Stegostoma tigrinum: one gene and its partner. The protein of the gene in region 1 purifies or fractionates together with the protein of each later gene. This does not show direct contact. Links are inferred from orthologs where the notes say so. Each region holds a gene or a part of one and is shown in the gene's direction. Other genes may lie near its edges.

Region 1 (7,434 bases):
CAGATGTCCAAGTTCTTCGAGGACCGCCACTTTCCCCCCACAGTGATCGAGAACGCCCTTGACCGCGTCTCCCGCACTTCCCGCAACACATCCCTCACACCCCGCCCCCGCCACAACCGCCCAAAGAGGATCCCCCTCGTTCTCACACACCACGCCACCAACCTCCGGATACAACGCATCATCCTCCGACACTTCCGCCATCTACAATCCGACCCCACCACCCAAGACATTTTTCCATCCCCACCCCTGTCTGCTTTCCGGAGAGACCACTCTCTCCGTGACTCCCTTGTTCGCTCCACACTGCCCTCCAACCCCACCACACCCGGCACCTTCCCCTGCAACCGCAGGAAATGCTACACTTGCCCCCACACCTCCTCCCTCACCCCTATCCCAGGCCCCAAGATGACATTCCACATTAAGCAGAGGTTCAACTGCACATCTGCCAATGTGGTATACTGTATCCACTGTACCCGGTGTGGCTTCCTCTACATTGGGGAAACCAAGCGGAGGCTTGGAGACCGCTTTGCAGAACACCTCCGCTCAGTTCGCAACAAACAACTGCACCTCCCAGTCGCAAACCATTTCCACTCCCCCTCCCATTCTTTAGATGACATGTCCATCATGGGCCTCCTGCAGTGCCACAATGATGCCACCCGAAGGTTGCAGGAACAGCAACTCATATTCCGCCTGGGAACCCTGCAGCCTAATGGTATCAATGTGGACTTCACCAGTTTCAAAATCTCCCCTTCTCCAACTGCATCCCTAAACCAGCCCAATTCGTCCCCTCCCCCACTGCACCACACAACCAGCCCAGCTCTTCCCCTCCACCCACTGCATCCCAAAACCAGTCCAACCTGTCTCCGCCTCCCTAACCTGTTCTTCCTCTCACCCATCCCTTCCTCCCACCCCAAGCCGCACCCCCATCTACCTACTAACCTCATCCCACCTCCTTGACCTTTCCGTCTTCCCTGGACTGACCTTTCCCCTCCCTACCTCCCCACCTATACTCTCTCCACCTATCTTCTTTTCTCTCCATCTTCGGTCCGCCTCCCCCTCTCTCCCTATTTATTCCAGAACCCTCACCCCATCCCCCTCTCTGATGAAGGGTCTAGGCCCGAAACGTCAGCTTTTGTGCTCCTGAGATGCTGCTTGGCCTGCTGTGTTCATCCAGCCTCACATTTTATTATCTTGGATTCTCCAGCATCTGCAGTTCCTATTATCTCTCCCTCCTGTTCCTGTTATCTCGCCATACCTTTGATCCCTTTAGCCCCGGGTAATAGATCTGACTCCTTGAAAACATTAAATGCTTTGGCTTCAAACATTTCTTGTGGTAGTGAATTCCACAGGTTCATCACTCTCTTGAAGAAATTTCTCCTTAGCTCAGTCCCAAATGGCCTACCCCATATCCTTAGATTGTGACCCTTGGGTATGGACTCCCTGTCATCGAGAACATCTTTCCTGTGTTCACCCTGTTAGAATTTTATAGGTTCCTATGAGATTCCCCCTCACTTTTCTAGTGAATGTAGTCAAAACCGATCCAGTTCCTCTTCATATATCAGTCCTACCATTTCCAGGAATCAATTTAGTAAACCTTCCTTGCACTCCCTGTATAGACAGAACCATCCTTCTTGAGCAAAGGAGACCAAACCTGCACACAGTATTCCATGTGTGGTCTCACCAAAGCCTAGTACATTTGCAGCAAAACATGGTCATTCCTGTCCTGGAATCCTTTCTCTGTGAAGGCCTACATACCATTTACCGCCTGCTGTACCTGCATGCTTACTTTTATTGAATGGTGGACAAGGATACCCAGGTTTGCTGTGATGCCCTATTTCCTACCTGTCACCATTTGGATAATAGTTGAACCAGTGGATTGGCTAAAACAATGATAGAACAAGGAATTCAATTTGTGGTACTACAAGATGATCAGATGGGATGTTGCAGGAAGTAAGCTTTGTTGGCTATATTCTTTTAATCCTCTTCAAACACAGGAGCAGTACCAGAGTGCAGGAGAATTGTGACGAAGGGTACAAAGATAAGCCAAAAAACTTCAAGCCACTTGGTTTAACTTTGTTTTTTGAAACCAAAATCAGGGTAAGTTAAGTTGTACAAGTGCGAATTAATGAACGAAGACCAGTACTGATTGTTAAAGGCAACTTGTGTTTAAGTATCTTGCTTGAATATTGCTGAAGAGAGAGCCAAGCTGTTGAAAATTATTTTTGTATCAGGGATAATGGGAACTGCAGATGCTGGAGAATCTGAGATAACAAAGTGTGGAGCTGGATGAACACAGCAGGCCCAGCAGTGGGTGGAGGGGACGAACTGGGCTGGTTTAGGGATGCGGTGGGGGAAGGGGAGATTTTGAAACTGGTGAACTCCACATTGATACCATTGGGCTGCAGGGTTCCCAAGCGGAATATGAGTTGCTGTTCCTGCAACCTTCGGGTGGCATCATTGTGGCAGTGCAGGAGGCGCACACACACACACACACACACACACACACACACACACACACACACACACACATCAGAAAAAGGAGCTTATTTTTATCTTGCAACCGCAGGACAAACACAAGACTGCCAAAATTCTTCATTGTATTTCCAGTACCTTCTCCATGGCAACACCATCAGCACTGTATTGTCCTGTAATATAAGTTGTTGTGACTTTTTGAAATGTGGCATTCTTGAATTTATTCTGATACAATATATATGAAATATATATTATCTTTTCATGTAAGATGAAGGTGTTGTCGTTTGTCACGAACAGAGTGCAGGTGCAGACTCTGAGCCTCCACCTGGTCTCACCAATGCAGAGGAGGCGACAAACAACACCTTCCAGACGCAAACAACTTCAACTCCCCCTCCCACTCCCTGGGTGACGTCCATTCTGGACCTGCTCCACTGTCACAACAACGCCACCCAGAAACTGGAGGAGCAGCACGTCATATTCTGCCTGGGGACCCTACAATCCAATGGTCTCAATGTGGACTTCACTAATTTCAAAATCTCCCCACCCCTGGCCTCATCCCACGATCAACCCTCCCTGTCATCCTGCCTCCTTGACCTGTCTGTCTTCTCTCCCACTGATCCACTCTGTCTACCTCACTGATCAATCCCCACCACTGCCTGCCTGCACTCACCTATCACCATCCACCTACCTTCCCCATCCCAACCCCTCCTCTATTTATTTCAGAACTCCCTTCCCTCTCCCCCATTTCTGAAGAAGGGTCTTGACTGGAAGCTTTAGTGTTTCTGCTTGTTTGATGCTGCCTGGCCTGCTGTGTTTCTCCAACTCCACAGTTTTTTTAGGTGTGAGGCCTTGTCAAACTGGCTCTATGTCTGAAATAGGAATTTATAAAATGCCACATTGTCTATAAATTGTGTGCTTTTTGACAAAATAGAACGCATCTGCAAATACAAATTCACCCCACAGATTCACATGTGTATTAGAGAGGGATTCTTTGATGTTTCACTTCCAAATTCTGTGTCTTATACTATCTGTCTCACGAACACCTGAAGGAGGAGTGAGGCTCTGAAAGCTTGTTTCTGAATAATCCTGTTGAACAATAACCTGGTGAAGCGTGATTTCTGACATTGATGAGGTGACCCCTATGGTTGTCATAGAATCCCTCGTGTGGAACCAGGCCCTTCGGCCCAATAAGTCCACACCGACCTATGAACCACACCAACCGAATCACCACACCCCTGAACACTATGGGCAGTTTAGCATAGACAAGATAATAAAGTGTGAAGCTGGATGAACACAGCATAGACACTTAGCATAGCCAATCCAACTAACTTGCACATCTCTGTACTGTAGGAGGAATCCAGAGCACCCAGGGGTGCAATTCAACCCGGGTTCCTGGCGCTGTGAAACAACCACTGAGCCACCGTGCTGTTACAGCAATTTCTGTTTTTGTGTCAGTTATTTCCTTTTATTTAAATCGCTGAGAAGTGTTTTATGTTACGGTAAAAACAAATGGTCATTCCCGCTGAGGATTATCCGATTCACCGAGACCACTGCCTCTGCAAACGCCCTGGACATCGCACCAGCTCCACGTGGCGCATTTGGCGGATTGTATGCAAATCGAGGGACTGGAGGTGGGACGACGCCATGGCAGACGAACCAATCACCATCTCGGAGTCCCACGTGGGTCATCACCCCGGATGGTCAGTTCCCGCAGCTGGAACCAATAGGCGGCCTGCATGCAAATAAGTCCTTGCTGTGCCTGTACAATCAGCTCGGAGCTCGAGCTGACCTGTGCACCAATAGGTGTGGAAAGGCCGCGGTCGACCAATCGCGGCTGGCCCAGAAACCATAGTAACGGCGAATCCAAACAGACAACAAGAGGCCGAACGGGACGGAGGGGGGGTTGTCATAGCAACGGGCCTTAGTAACCGGGGCTGCAGCGGCGGTCGGCTCCGCTACGCTAAATACAAGGAGCGGGCCCGCAACCCAGACCGATCCCCGGTTCCGATCAGAGGTTCCTGGGATAGTCCCCTCTTTCCCCTCCCCATCCCCCTCCTTGGTTGTTGAGAAAGGTTGGAGCCGGCGGGGTAGCAGCGCCTGCGCGGCCGGAGCTTTCCGCTTTTCCCTCTCACACCCCCCCCCGGAACCTTTGTCGGGAGGCGGCGGGTTGCACCCGGACGTTGCTAGGGCCCCGGGTCCGGCGGCGCTCAGAGATGTTCAAGAACACGTTCCAGAGCGGATTCCTCTCGATCCTCTACAGTATCGGCAGTAAACCCCTGCAGATCTGGGACAAGAAGGTGAGGAAGGACCTTAACCTCATGCCTTTACCGGGAGCGGGTGACGGAGACTAGGCCTCAGGCTTCGGGCCGCGCAGTAACCCCCCACCCCAACCCCCTCACAGACTTGACCCTTTCTGCTCAAATCGGGGCTGGAAACAGAGAAGATGGGAGCAGGAGGGCGAGGCCATTGGGCCCTTCGAGCCTAACCCGCCACTCTCCACGATCATGGCGTGGATGGATGTCCCAGCAACAACAAACCGACAGAAACATCAATCCCCGAGGAGCAAGATATCATGTTCCCGCAACCTCCAGGACTCTACCTGGAGTTTAACCATGTCAGAGTGTGAACACCCTCATTCTTTCCCAGTCCCTTATGCACTCCACAGCCCAGGTCTTCTGATGAAGGGTCTAGGCCCGAAACATCAGCCTCCCTGCTCCTCTGATGCTGCCTGGCCTGCTGTGTTCATCCAGCTCCACACCTTGTTATCTCTGCCATACAATGGGCAGCTTTCAGCTCAGCCAACCCACTCAGAGTCTCCATTCTCACCCATCTCCCCTCTTTCTTTCCCTAGCTTGCCATCAACAATCCCTTTGCTCCTCTGTCCTTTTCTCTCTGACCTCCTCCACCTGTTTGCCCTCTCCTTGCCTCCCCCACCATGTCATCAACACTTTTTCGAGCTGCTGCGAGTTCTGAAGAAGGGTCACCAGACTTGAAATATTAGCTCTGTTTCTTGTCCTCACGTATCCACAAGACCTGCTGCGTTTCTCCAGCAATTTCTGCTTTTGTTTGTTGTGGGTCTGCAGAATCTGCAGTTCTTTGTCCCACCAGCTGACTCTGCTATTCGATCAGATTAATCTGATCTGATAGTAATCTCAAAATCCACATTCCCAGTTGCCCTCAATAACCTTTCACCACCCTTTATCTACCTCTAACTTAAAAATTGTCCAAAAACTCTGTGTCCGCCACCTTTTTCAGGAAGAGTGCCAAAGATTGAGGGATAGGTGGGAAATAATGTACTTGATTCTGTCTCAATTTCAGGCAAGCCCTGATTTTTAAACTGTTCTAGATTTTTCCACAAGAAGAAACCTGCCTTATTCAGTTTGGGCAGAAGAGTTTAGAGAGCTGATGGTACAGTAGAATCAGTGCTGTCAGCATATGTGCGGAACTAATACTGTGGCTTCAGGCAAGGGGATGTTATTAAGCTGGAGAGGGCTCAGAAGAGATTTACCAGGATGTTGCTAGGTATGGAAGGTTTGTGTTATAAGGAAGAGCTGGATTGGCTGGGATTTTTTTCACTGGAGTGTAGGAGGTTGAGAGGTGACCTGATAGAAGGTTATAAAATAATGAGAGATGTACAAAGAGTTGATGGTCATTGTCTTTTTCCTAAGATGGGGAATTTCAAGACCGGGGGCACATTTTTAAGGTGAAAGGAGAGAGATTTTAAAAAAAGACATAAGGCAAATTTCTTACACGGAGGGTGGTTCGCGTGTGGAACCTTGAGGAAGTGATGCGCGTGAACGCCTTGAGGAAGTGGTGGATGTGTGTACAATTACAACGTTTAAAAGACATTTGGATAAATACATGAATAGGAAAGGTTTGGAGAGATATGGGCCAGGACCAGGTAGGTGGGACTAATTTAGTTTGGAATTATGCTTGGCTTGGGCTGGTTGGACTGAAGGGTCTATTTCTGTGTTCCATAACTCTATATTAAGCCAGGACCTTCAGCTGATGTTCTGAGGTCTTGGGTTTGAATCCATTCATGGAAAATTGTGAAATTTGAATGTACTAAAGATCTGGAATTAAAAGTCAGTCTGAAAGTCACTTGTCAAATATTGTAAAAACCCATCTGGTTCATCAATGTCCTTTAGGGATAGAAATCTGCTGCTTTTACCTGGTCTGACCTACATGTGTCTTCAGGCCCTCATCAATGTGAGTGACTCTTTGGAAATAGCTTAGAGTCCTTATCAGTTCAAAGGCAACAAGGTTAAAGACAAAAGAAGAACTGCAGATGTTGGAATCTGAGGTAGACAAACAGGAGGCTGGAAGAACACAGCAAGCCAGGCAACATCTGGAATAAAGGAGCAATCGATGTTTTGGTTATTACCCTTCTTCAGGACTCAACAAGGACAACTAGCATAGAACATAGAAAAGTACAGCACAGTACAGGCCCTTCAGCCCACGATGTTGTGCTGTGGAATAATCCTAATCCAAAAATAAAATAACCTAACCTACATTCCCCTCAATTCACTGCTGTCCATGTGCATGTCCAGCAGTCACTTAAATGTCACTAATGACTCTGCTTCCACGACTACCACTGGTAAACTATTCCATGCACTCTCAACTCTCTGGGTGAAGAACCTCCCTCTGACGTCTCCTCTATACCTTCCTCCTAACACCTTAAAACTATGAGCCCTCGTGTCAGTCAATCCTGCCCTGGGGAAAAGTCTCTGGCTATCGACTCTATCCGTGCCTCTCATTACCTTGTACACCTTGCGTTGGGCAACAAGATTCCTGTCTTCTCAGTGATAGCCAAGAAATAAAACTAATTTAAAAATATAATGTAATGGAGATGAGAAATGCAGGGGGGCATGCAAGGAAAGATACTAGGGGGTAACAAGATAAAAACAGAAATAGCAGGAAAATCTCAGCAGGTCTGGTGGTATTTGTGGAGACAAATCAGATTTA
Region 2 (8,249 bases), on another chromosome or scaffold:
TCTGTGCAAAATAAGCATAGTTGGCTTTTCGATTCTGGTAACTCTTCATCTGGTGAGTATTCTGATGAAGTCAGCAGACTCAAAACGTTGACTCTGATTTCTTCCCACAGGCATCCACAAATACTGAGTTTCTCCAGCAGTTTTTGTTTTTAGTTCACCAAAGGATTTGACTGCATGGTTGCTGGTAAGACTAAACTCTTTACGATGCTGAAAGTAAGTAGCCAGGGGAATGACGTTTTGTCAATGATCCCGTCGTATCCCGTTTGCTTGAAAAAACTATCTAAATCTCTTGGCATACTGGGGCTAATCCTCCACACCATCACCATAATGTCCAATTTACCAAACAACTGCATTTCTGGGTTCATTGAAAGGCAAGGCTGTCTGAAACTTTCCTTTCAGTGCCAACGTAAAATCTCGAGAAGCCTGACTGGAAAGGAGCACCGTTTATAGTTGAACACCAAAATAGAGCCATTACTCATGGTGTATATAGACTAGTCCAAGACTAGGAAAAACCATTCTGCAGACCCATCTCTGGATCTCAGATTCCCTGCAGACCTTTAAAGGAGTCATCAAAAAAGGAAAGTTAGGCGGTTCTGAGACTGAAACCACCATGAGATTTGTGGTTTATTTTTTAATCGCACAGTTTAACCAGAGTGTGTGATTCTTTGATATACTGTTAATGAGACCCAAGGGATATGCTGTTGTAATGCATGCATTGTTCAGATTGGTTGAGAATGTTCAGTTGAACACCAAGTGTTTCTAACCTGTTACTTTTTTCACACTAATTGTTCATTGATCATTGAAAATTAAAATTAGTTAGATTCCAAGTTAAAAGTTTCCAATTAAATGGTTTTCACGCAGGAATTCTTTGTTTACAAGCAATAGACTGTTACACAGAGTGAAAACCTTCACACAAATGTTTTGCTTGAAAAGAGAGGAGAAGGGGTTCAGATGTAAGGGAAGACCCAACCAGCCATATAAAGGCAGGTATTGAATATATCATTTAGAGGCTGGACTCTGTGCCGTACAGGCTGTTCCCTGAGATGCACACCAAGAATCAACTGCAACTGGAGAACCATGAACTCAGTGAAACATGCTCATTGCTCTACCCCAAAACTTGGTCTTCTAATGCAAAGAGTTGACTTCAACCAAGTGTTGCAGACAGGCACATTCCAAGGTTCAGGACTACATACCGAGGATTAAGAATTAGAATTAGATTTATTGTCACATGTACTTAAGTACAAAGTGCAGGAGTACAATGAGAAGTGTACAATCTCATCACACAAGGTGCCATTTTAGGTGCAATGTACCTAGGTACAAAAATAGAGAAATACAGATGAAAGCTAAAAGTTGTACATTACAGTTTTTCATAGTAATAAATTAGGAATGTAAAGAAATAAAGTTAAATGTTACAGTCCTTCTGTAGCCTACAGTCTCTCCACATTGTGGGCTTTCCACATGTGGTCTCACGCTCCCTGCACTACCAAAATTGAGGTCTGTGACAGGTTGACTGCACTGGGCCCCAGTCTGCCAGCCAACCCCTCTGGGTTCCCAGCCTGCTGGCAGCTTCTCTCTGGCCCGTCAATCATTGGCCTTTCTGCCCTACCCCAGCCTGTCAACTGCTGGCTACCCTGCTTCACACCAGGCCCTCAGCTGCAGCAGCACCACCGCGGGCTTCGTGAGACAAGGTAGGTTAAAAATAACCAAAAAAATGTGTTTTAAAAAGAGGAGTGGACGGAGAGGACGAGCCCCTGGTTGAGCCCAGACATTGCCTGTGCTGCTGTTGCCATCTTAAAAATAAAATAAACTTGGAGCAGCTGCTGCCAAGGTACAGTGGAGAAAAACAACTGTCTTTGGTTCTTCTCATTTGAAAAGATAGTTATGAAATCAAAGTGGCTAGAAGATGCTAGGTTCTCTATGCTCTAATAGGTACAGCTATGAACTACACATCTGTTTGCTAGAAGAGCAGTCTGCAGATTGATGTTAAATAGCAACACTAGCTTGTCCCTGAAGCTTATTAATTCAAATTTAGGACTGTAAGAATGAAACCTAATCAAATATCTATAGAATGTGTGACAGAAGAGGAAAAAGAAAGTGTTAAATTTAAATCTGAGACAGATCATACCTTTGCTTAACAAACAAATTAAGAAATATGGGCCAAAGGCAGGTGCATGCAATTAGGCCGTGGATCAACTGTGATCCCAATGAATGGCAGATCAGGCCTAAGGGGCGAAATGGCCTCCTCCTGTTCCTATATTCTTATATAAATGTAATGGATTCAATATTTAAGCACTGATATTGGAGAAAGGATTTGAGAATATGAGGGAAATCACGGTTAAGGAAAGCTTGCAAAATAGTATTCCAGTTTTGAGATAATAAAATGTGAGGCTGGATGAACACAGCAGGCCAAGCAGCATCTCAGGAGCACAAAAGCTGACGTTTCGGGCCTAGACCCTTCATCAGAGAGGGGGATGGGGAGAGGGAACTGGAATAAATAGGGAGAGGGGGAGGCGGACCGAAGATGGAGAGTAAAGAAGATAGGTAGAGAGAGTGTAGGTGGGAAGGTAGGGAGGGGATAGGTCAGTCCAGGGAAGACGGACAGGTCAAGGAGGTGGGATGAGGTTAGTAGGTAGCTGGGGGTGCGGCTTGGGGTGGGAGGAAGGGATGGGTGAGAGGAAGAACCGGTTAGGGAGGCAGAGACAGGTTGGACTGGTTTTGGGATGCAGTGGGTTGGGGGGGAAGAGCTGGGCTGGTTGTGTGGTGCAGTGGGGGGAGGGGACGAACTGGGCTGGTTTAGGGATGCAGTAGGGGAAGGGGAGATTTTGAAACTGGTGAAGTCCACATTGATACCATATGGCTGCAGGGTTCCCAGGTGGAATATGAGTTGCTGTTCCTGCAACCTTCGGGTGGCATCATTGTGGCAGTGCAGGAGGCCCATGATGGACATGTCATCTACAGAATGGGAGGGGGAGTGGAAATGGTTTGCGACTGAGAGGTGCAGTTGTTTGTTGCAAACTGAGCGGAGGTGTTCTGCAAAGCGGTCCCCAAGCCTCCGCTTGGTTTCCCCAATGTCGAGGCTTGGGGACCGCTTTGCAGAACACCTCCGCTCAGTTCGCAACAAACAACTGCACCTCCCAGTCGCAAACCATTTCCACTCCCCCTCCCATTCTCTAGATGACATGTCCAAAATGGGCCTCCTGCACTGCCACAATGATGCCACCCAAAGGTTGCAGGAACAGCAACTCATATTCCGCCTGGGAACCCTGCAGCCATATGGTATCAATGTGGACTTCACCAGTTTCAAAATCTCCCCTTCCCCCACCGCATCCCAAAACCAGCCCAGTTCGTCCCCTCCCCCCACTGCACCACACAACCAGCCCAGCTCTTCCCCCCCCACCCACTGCATCCCAAAACCAGTCCAACCTGTCTCTGCCTCCCTAACTGGTTCTTCCTCTCACCCATCCCTTCCTCCCACCCCAAGCCGCACCCCCAGCTACCTACTAACCTCATCCCACCTCCTTGACCTGTCCGTCTTCCCTGGACTGACCTATCCCCTCCCTACCTCCCCACCTACACTCTCTCCACCTATCTTCTTTACTCTCCATCTTCGGTCCGCCTCCCCCTCTCTCCCTACTTATTCCAGTTCCCTCTCCCCATCCCCCTCTCTGATGAAGGGTCTAGGCCCGAAACGTCAGCTTTTGTGCTCCTGAGATGCTGCTTGGCCTGCTGTGTTCACCCAGCCTCACATTTTATTATCTTGGAATTCTCCAGCATCTGCAGTTCCCATTATCTCTGATAGTATTCCAGTTTTGACTTAGTTAGAACTTCATATGATCTAGTATTGAGGACAGTGGCTCAGTGGTTAACCTGCTGCCTCACAGCACTCGGGTCACAGATTCAATTCGACCCTCAGGCAACTGTCTGTTTGGAGTTTGCACATTCTTCCCGTATCTACATGGGTTTCCTCCGGGTGCTGCGGTTTCCTCCCATAATCCAAAGATGTGTGGGTTAGGTTGGGAAATTACTGATAGTGTCCAGAGATGTGCAGGCCAGGTGGATTAGCCCTGGGTAATGCACAGTTATAGGGAAGGGGAGTGGGATGCTCCTCAGGGTGTCAGTGAGGACTTGATGTGCCAAATGGCTGCTTCAACACTGTAGGAATTCTATCATGAAGTAATGTGGCATCAAGCCCATCATTTTAAGTCCACCACTACCCATCTTTACATTGGTTCCACTTGTCTTCATCAGGATGATCATCCTAGCAGCTCAGGCCTGGTTTAGCAAGCAGCACCCCCTCGTCTAGATATGTGGCAAGAAAACTCAAGCAGCGCAACAAAATTCAGATCAAAGCAGTCCCAGGCCAGCACCCACCACATCACACCTTCAACATCCACTCCATCCAACACTGAAGCTCAGTAGCAGCAGTGTACCGTCGACAAGATGCACAACAGCACCTTCCAAATCCGTGATCTCTACCATTTAGAAAGACAAGGGGCAGTAGAAATATGGAAACATTACTGCCCTGCAGGTTCCCCTCCAAACCACATACTTGGAAATATGTCAGCATTCCTTTGGTGTTGCTGGATCAAAGTCTTTGAATTTCCTCCCCAATAACATTGAGGTTACCTACACAACACGAATTGCACTGCGATCTTCTCAAGGGGCAGCTAGAATGGACAATAAATAATGAGACAACCGGCAATGCCCACATTACATTAATGAATTAAAAGAAGAAAATCTTAGTGTAAGTTATTTTCTGGGATATCAATATCGCAATTTATACTTTATCTCTGTTTCCCTCCGTTCCTGTGAATTAATAAAAAATAATGTGGATATTAGTTTGTGATGCTGGTACGACTGAAACCGAAACAAAATAAATGATTGAAAACAGCTCCAAATGTATGTAATAGACATTCCGCGGAACTGATAGTGGAGCTGAACTGCCGGAGAAGGTCTTTTCCTGGAGTACCTGGAGCGGGGCGGAAGTGGCCGGGAGGGAGCACATGGTAGCGGACAGTGCGGGGCAGAAGTTGTGTGCGCGGTCAGGCACAAGGTGGGGGGCGGAGAGGGAAAAGATGGCGGAGAGTGGGTAGAGCTTTACACCAGGTAAACGCTGGGTGTGGTGGAGGGGGTCAGAAAGGGAAACTGGAAGGAAAGACACCTCACTTACAAAGGTGAGAGGAACTCGGAAAGTAAGGTCTGAGGCTGCCGGGGAATTGCGAAAGGATCGGTTGTGTCGGAGAAAAGTGTACGGGGGAGGGGCGCTGCTGAAGGCGGGGTGAGAAAAGAATAGGATGGGGGTGTAAATTAAGGGGGCGAACAGAGTTTAGGGGAGTAAACTGGGAGGGTGTGACGGGGCTAGGGCTGTAAATGGGGAAGGCGGGTGTTAGGAGTATGCATTGGGGGAGCGGGGGTCGGGGGTACGCACTGAGGGGGGAGGGGGGGAGCGGGGGTACGCACTGAGGGGGGAGGGGGGGAGCGGGGGTACGCACTGAGGGGGGAGGGGGGGAGCGGGGGTACGCACTGAGGGGGGAGCGGGGGTACGCACTGAGGGGGGAGCGGGGGTACGCACTGAGGGGGGAGGGGGGAGCGGGGGTACACACTGAGGGGGGAGGGGGGGAGCGGGGGTACGCACTGAGGGGGGAGGGGGGGAGCGGGGGTACGCACTGAGGGGGGAGGGGGGAGCGGGGGTACGCACTGAGGGGGGAGCGGGGGTACGCACTGAGGGGGGAGGGGGGGAGCGGGGGTACGCACTGAGGGGGGAGCGGGGGTACGCACTGAGTCGGGGGTCGGGGGTACGCACTGAGGGGGGAGCGGGGGTCGGGGGTACGCACTGAGGGGGGGAGCGGGGGTACGCACTGAGGGGGGAGGGGGGGAGCGGGGGTACGCACTGAGGGGGAGGGGGGGGAGCGGGGGTACGCACTGAGGGGGGGAGCGGGGGTACGCACTGAGGGGGGGAGCGGGGGTACGCACTGAGGGGGGAGCGGGGGTACGCACTGAGGGGGAGGGGGGGAACGGGGGTACGCACTGAGGGGGGAGCGGGGGTACGCACTGAGGGGGGGAGCGGGGGTACGCACTGAGGGGGGAGCGGGGGTACGCACTGAGGGGGGGAGCGGGGGTACGCACTGAGGGGGGAGCGGGGGTACGCACTGAGGGGGGAGCGGGGGTACGCACTGAGGGGGGAGGGGGGGAGCGGGGGTACGCACTGAGGGGGGAGGGGGGAGCGGGGGTACGCACTGAAGGGGGAGGGGGGGAGCGGGGGTACGCACTGAGGGGGGAGCGGGGGTACGCACTGAGTCGGGGGTCGGGGGTACGCACTGAGGGGGGAGCGGGGGTCGGGGGTACGCACTGAGGGGGGGAGCGGGGGTACGCACTGAGGGGGGAGGGGGGGAGCGGGGGTACGCACTGAGGGGGAGGGGGGGGAGCGGGGGTACGCACTGAGGGGGGGAGCGGGGGTACGCACTGAGGGGGGGAGCGGGGGTACGCACTGAGGGGGGAGCGGGGGTACGCACTGAGGGGGAGGGGGGGAACGGGGGTACGCACTGAGGGGGGAGCGGGGGAGCGGGGGTACGCACTGAGGGGGGGAGCGGGGGTACGCACTGAGGGGGGAGCGGGGGTACGCACTGAGGGGGGAGCGGGGGTACGCACTGAGGGGGGAGGGGGGGAGCGGGGGTACGCACTGAGGGGGGAGGGGGGGAGCGGGGGTACGCACTGAGGGGGGAGGGGGGAGCGGGGGTACGCACTGAAGGGGGAGGGGGGGAGCGGGGGTACGCACTGAGTCGGGGGTCGGGTGTACGCACTGAGGGGGGAGCGGGGGTCGGGGGTACGCACTGAGTCGGGGGTCGGGGGTACGCACTGAGGGGGGAGCGGGGGTCGGGGGTACGCACTGAGTCGGGGGTCGGGGGTACGCACTGAGGGGGGAGCGGGGGTCGGGGGTACGCACTGAGGGGGGAGCGGGGGTACGCACTGAGGGGGGAGGGGGGGAGCGGGGGTACGCACTGAGGGGGGAGGGGGGGGAGCGGGGGTACGCACTGAGGGGGGAGCGGGGGTACGCACTGAGGGGGGGAGCGGGGGTACGCACTGAGGGGGGAGGGGGGAGCGGGGGTACGCACTGAGGGGGGGGGGAGCGGGGGTACGCACTGAGGCGGGAGGGGGGGAGCGGGGGTACGCACTGAGGGGGGAGGGGGGGGAGCGGGGGTACGCACTGAGGGGGGGGGGAGCGGGGGTACGCACTGAGGGGGGAGGGGGGGGAGCGGGGGTACGCACTGAGGGGGGAGGGGGGGAGCGGGGGTACGCACTGAGGGGGGAGGGGGGGGAGCGGGGGAACGCACTGAGTTGGGGGGAGCGGGGGTACGCACTGAGGGGGGAGGGGGGGTCGGGGGTACGCACTGAGGGGGGAGCGGGGGTACGCACTGAGCGGGGAGTTGGGCTCGGGTACGCACTGAGGGGGGGAGCAGGCGTCGGTGGTATGCACTGAGTGAGGGAGCGGGGGTCGGGGGTACGCACTGAGGGGGGAGTTGGGCTCGGGTACGCACTGAGGGGGGGAGCGGGGGTTGGGGGTCGGTGGTACGCACTGAGTGAGGGAGCGGGGGTCGGGGGTACGCACTGAGGAGGGGGGGAGCGGGGGTCTGGGGTATGCACTGAGGCGGGAAGCGGGGGCCGGGGGTATGAATTAGGAGGGGAAGGAGGGTTGGGGGTGATTAGGGGTGTAAATTGGGTGGGTCAGGGGAAGGAGTGTATAAATTGGGAGGGTTGAGCCTAAATTTGGATGTGGTGCTTAAGTTGGGAGGAGGGAGTATATGAGGGAGCAACGGGTGCAGATGAAGGTCAGAATGGGAAAGGATGGAGGATGAGATATGTGGGGGGTAACAAGTTGAAGATGAATGAGGAGGTGGAGGGTATGAGGTTGCTGGGTAGTGATGGGTAAGTGGAGAGGTGTTATGAGTGATGTGTGGAAAGAGTAGGGGAGGGAAAGATGAGGGAGGAGATCAAGGCGAATGTTGAAGTGAGTTGAAGGTGAACGGGAGGGGTGAGGGGTTACGGAAGGAGTGTTGAAAGTGAGAGGGTTGGGATGAGATGAGGGGGGCAAGAGGTAGGGGGAGGGGGTCAGGAGGAATGTAGTTGAGGGTAGGAAGAGTGGGTGGAGAGATGTAGGGAGATGGCAGGAGTGGGGACAGGTGCAAGGGAGGCAAAGTAGAATTAGAGGTGGGAGGGCAATGGATGGATCACCTGATCCAGGGAATTGTCTC

Evidence for each region.
Region 2: the proteins of cfap20 (region 1) and clasrp purify together in Homo sapiens (affinity purification with mass spectrometry; 3 studies listed by BioGRID and IntAct, counting the BioPlex papers as one, with this or other methods). This does not show direct contact. The link is inferred for Stegostoma tigrinum from reciprocal best matches to the Homo sapiens genes CFAP20 and CLASRP.

Annotation. Positions count from the first base shown.
Region 1 is NC_081355.1:158,596,969-158,604,402, reverse strand, and holds the start of cfap20 (cilia- and flagella-associated protein 20), read left to right. Parts: upstream 1-4,355; 5' UTR 4,356-4,682; coding exon 4,683-4,766; intron 4,767-6,284; exon of another isoform or gene 6,285-6,355; coding exon of another isoform or gene 6,356-6,370; intron 6,371-7,434. UniProt on the Homo sapiens protein: Cilium- and flagellum-specific protein that plays a role in axonemal structure organization and motility. Microtubule inner protein (MIP) part of the dynein-decorated doublet microtubules (DMTs) in cilia axoneme, which is required for motile cilia beating.
Region 2 is NC_081392.1:14,388,496-14,396,744, forward strand, and holds the start of clasrp (CLK4-associating serine/arginine rich protein), read left to right. Parts: upstream 1-5,052; 5' UTR 5,053-5,174; intron 5,175-8,249. UniProt on the Homo sapiens protein: Probably functions as an alternative splicing regulator. May regulate the mRNA splicing of genes such as CLK1. May act by regulating members of the CLK kinase family.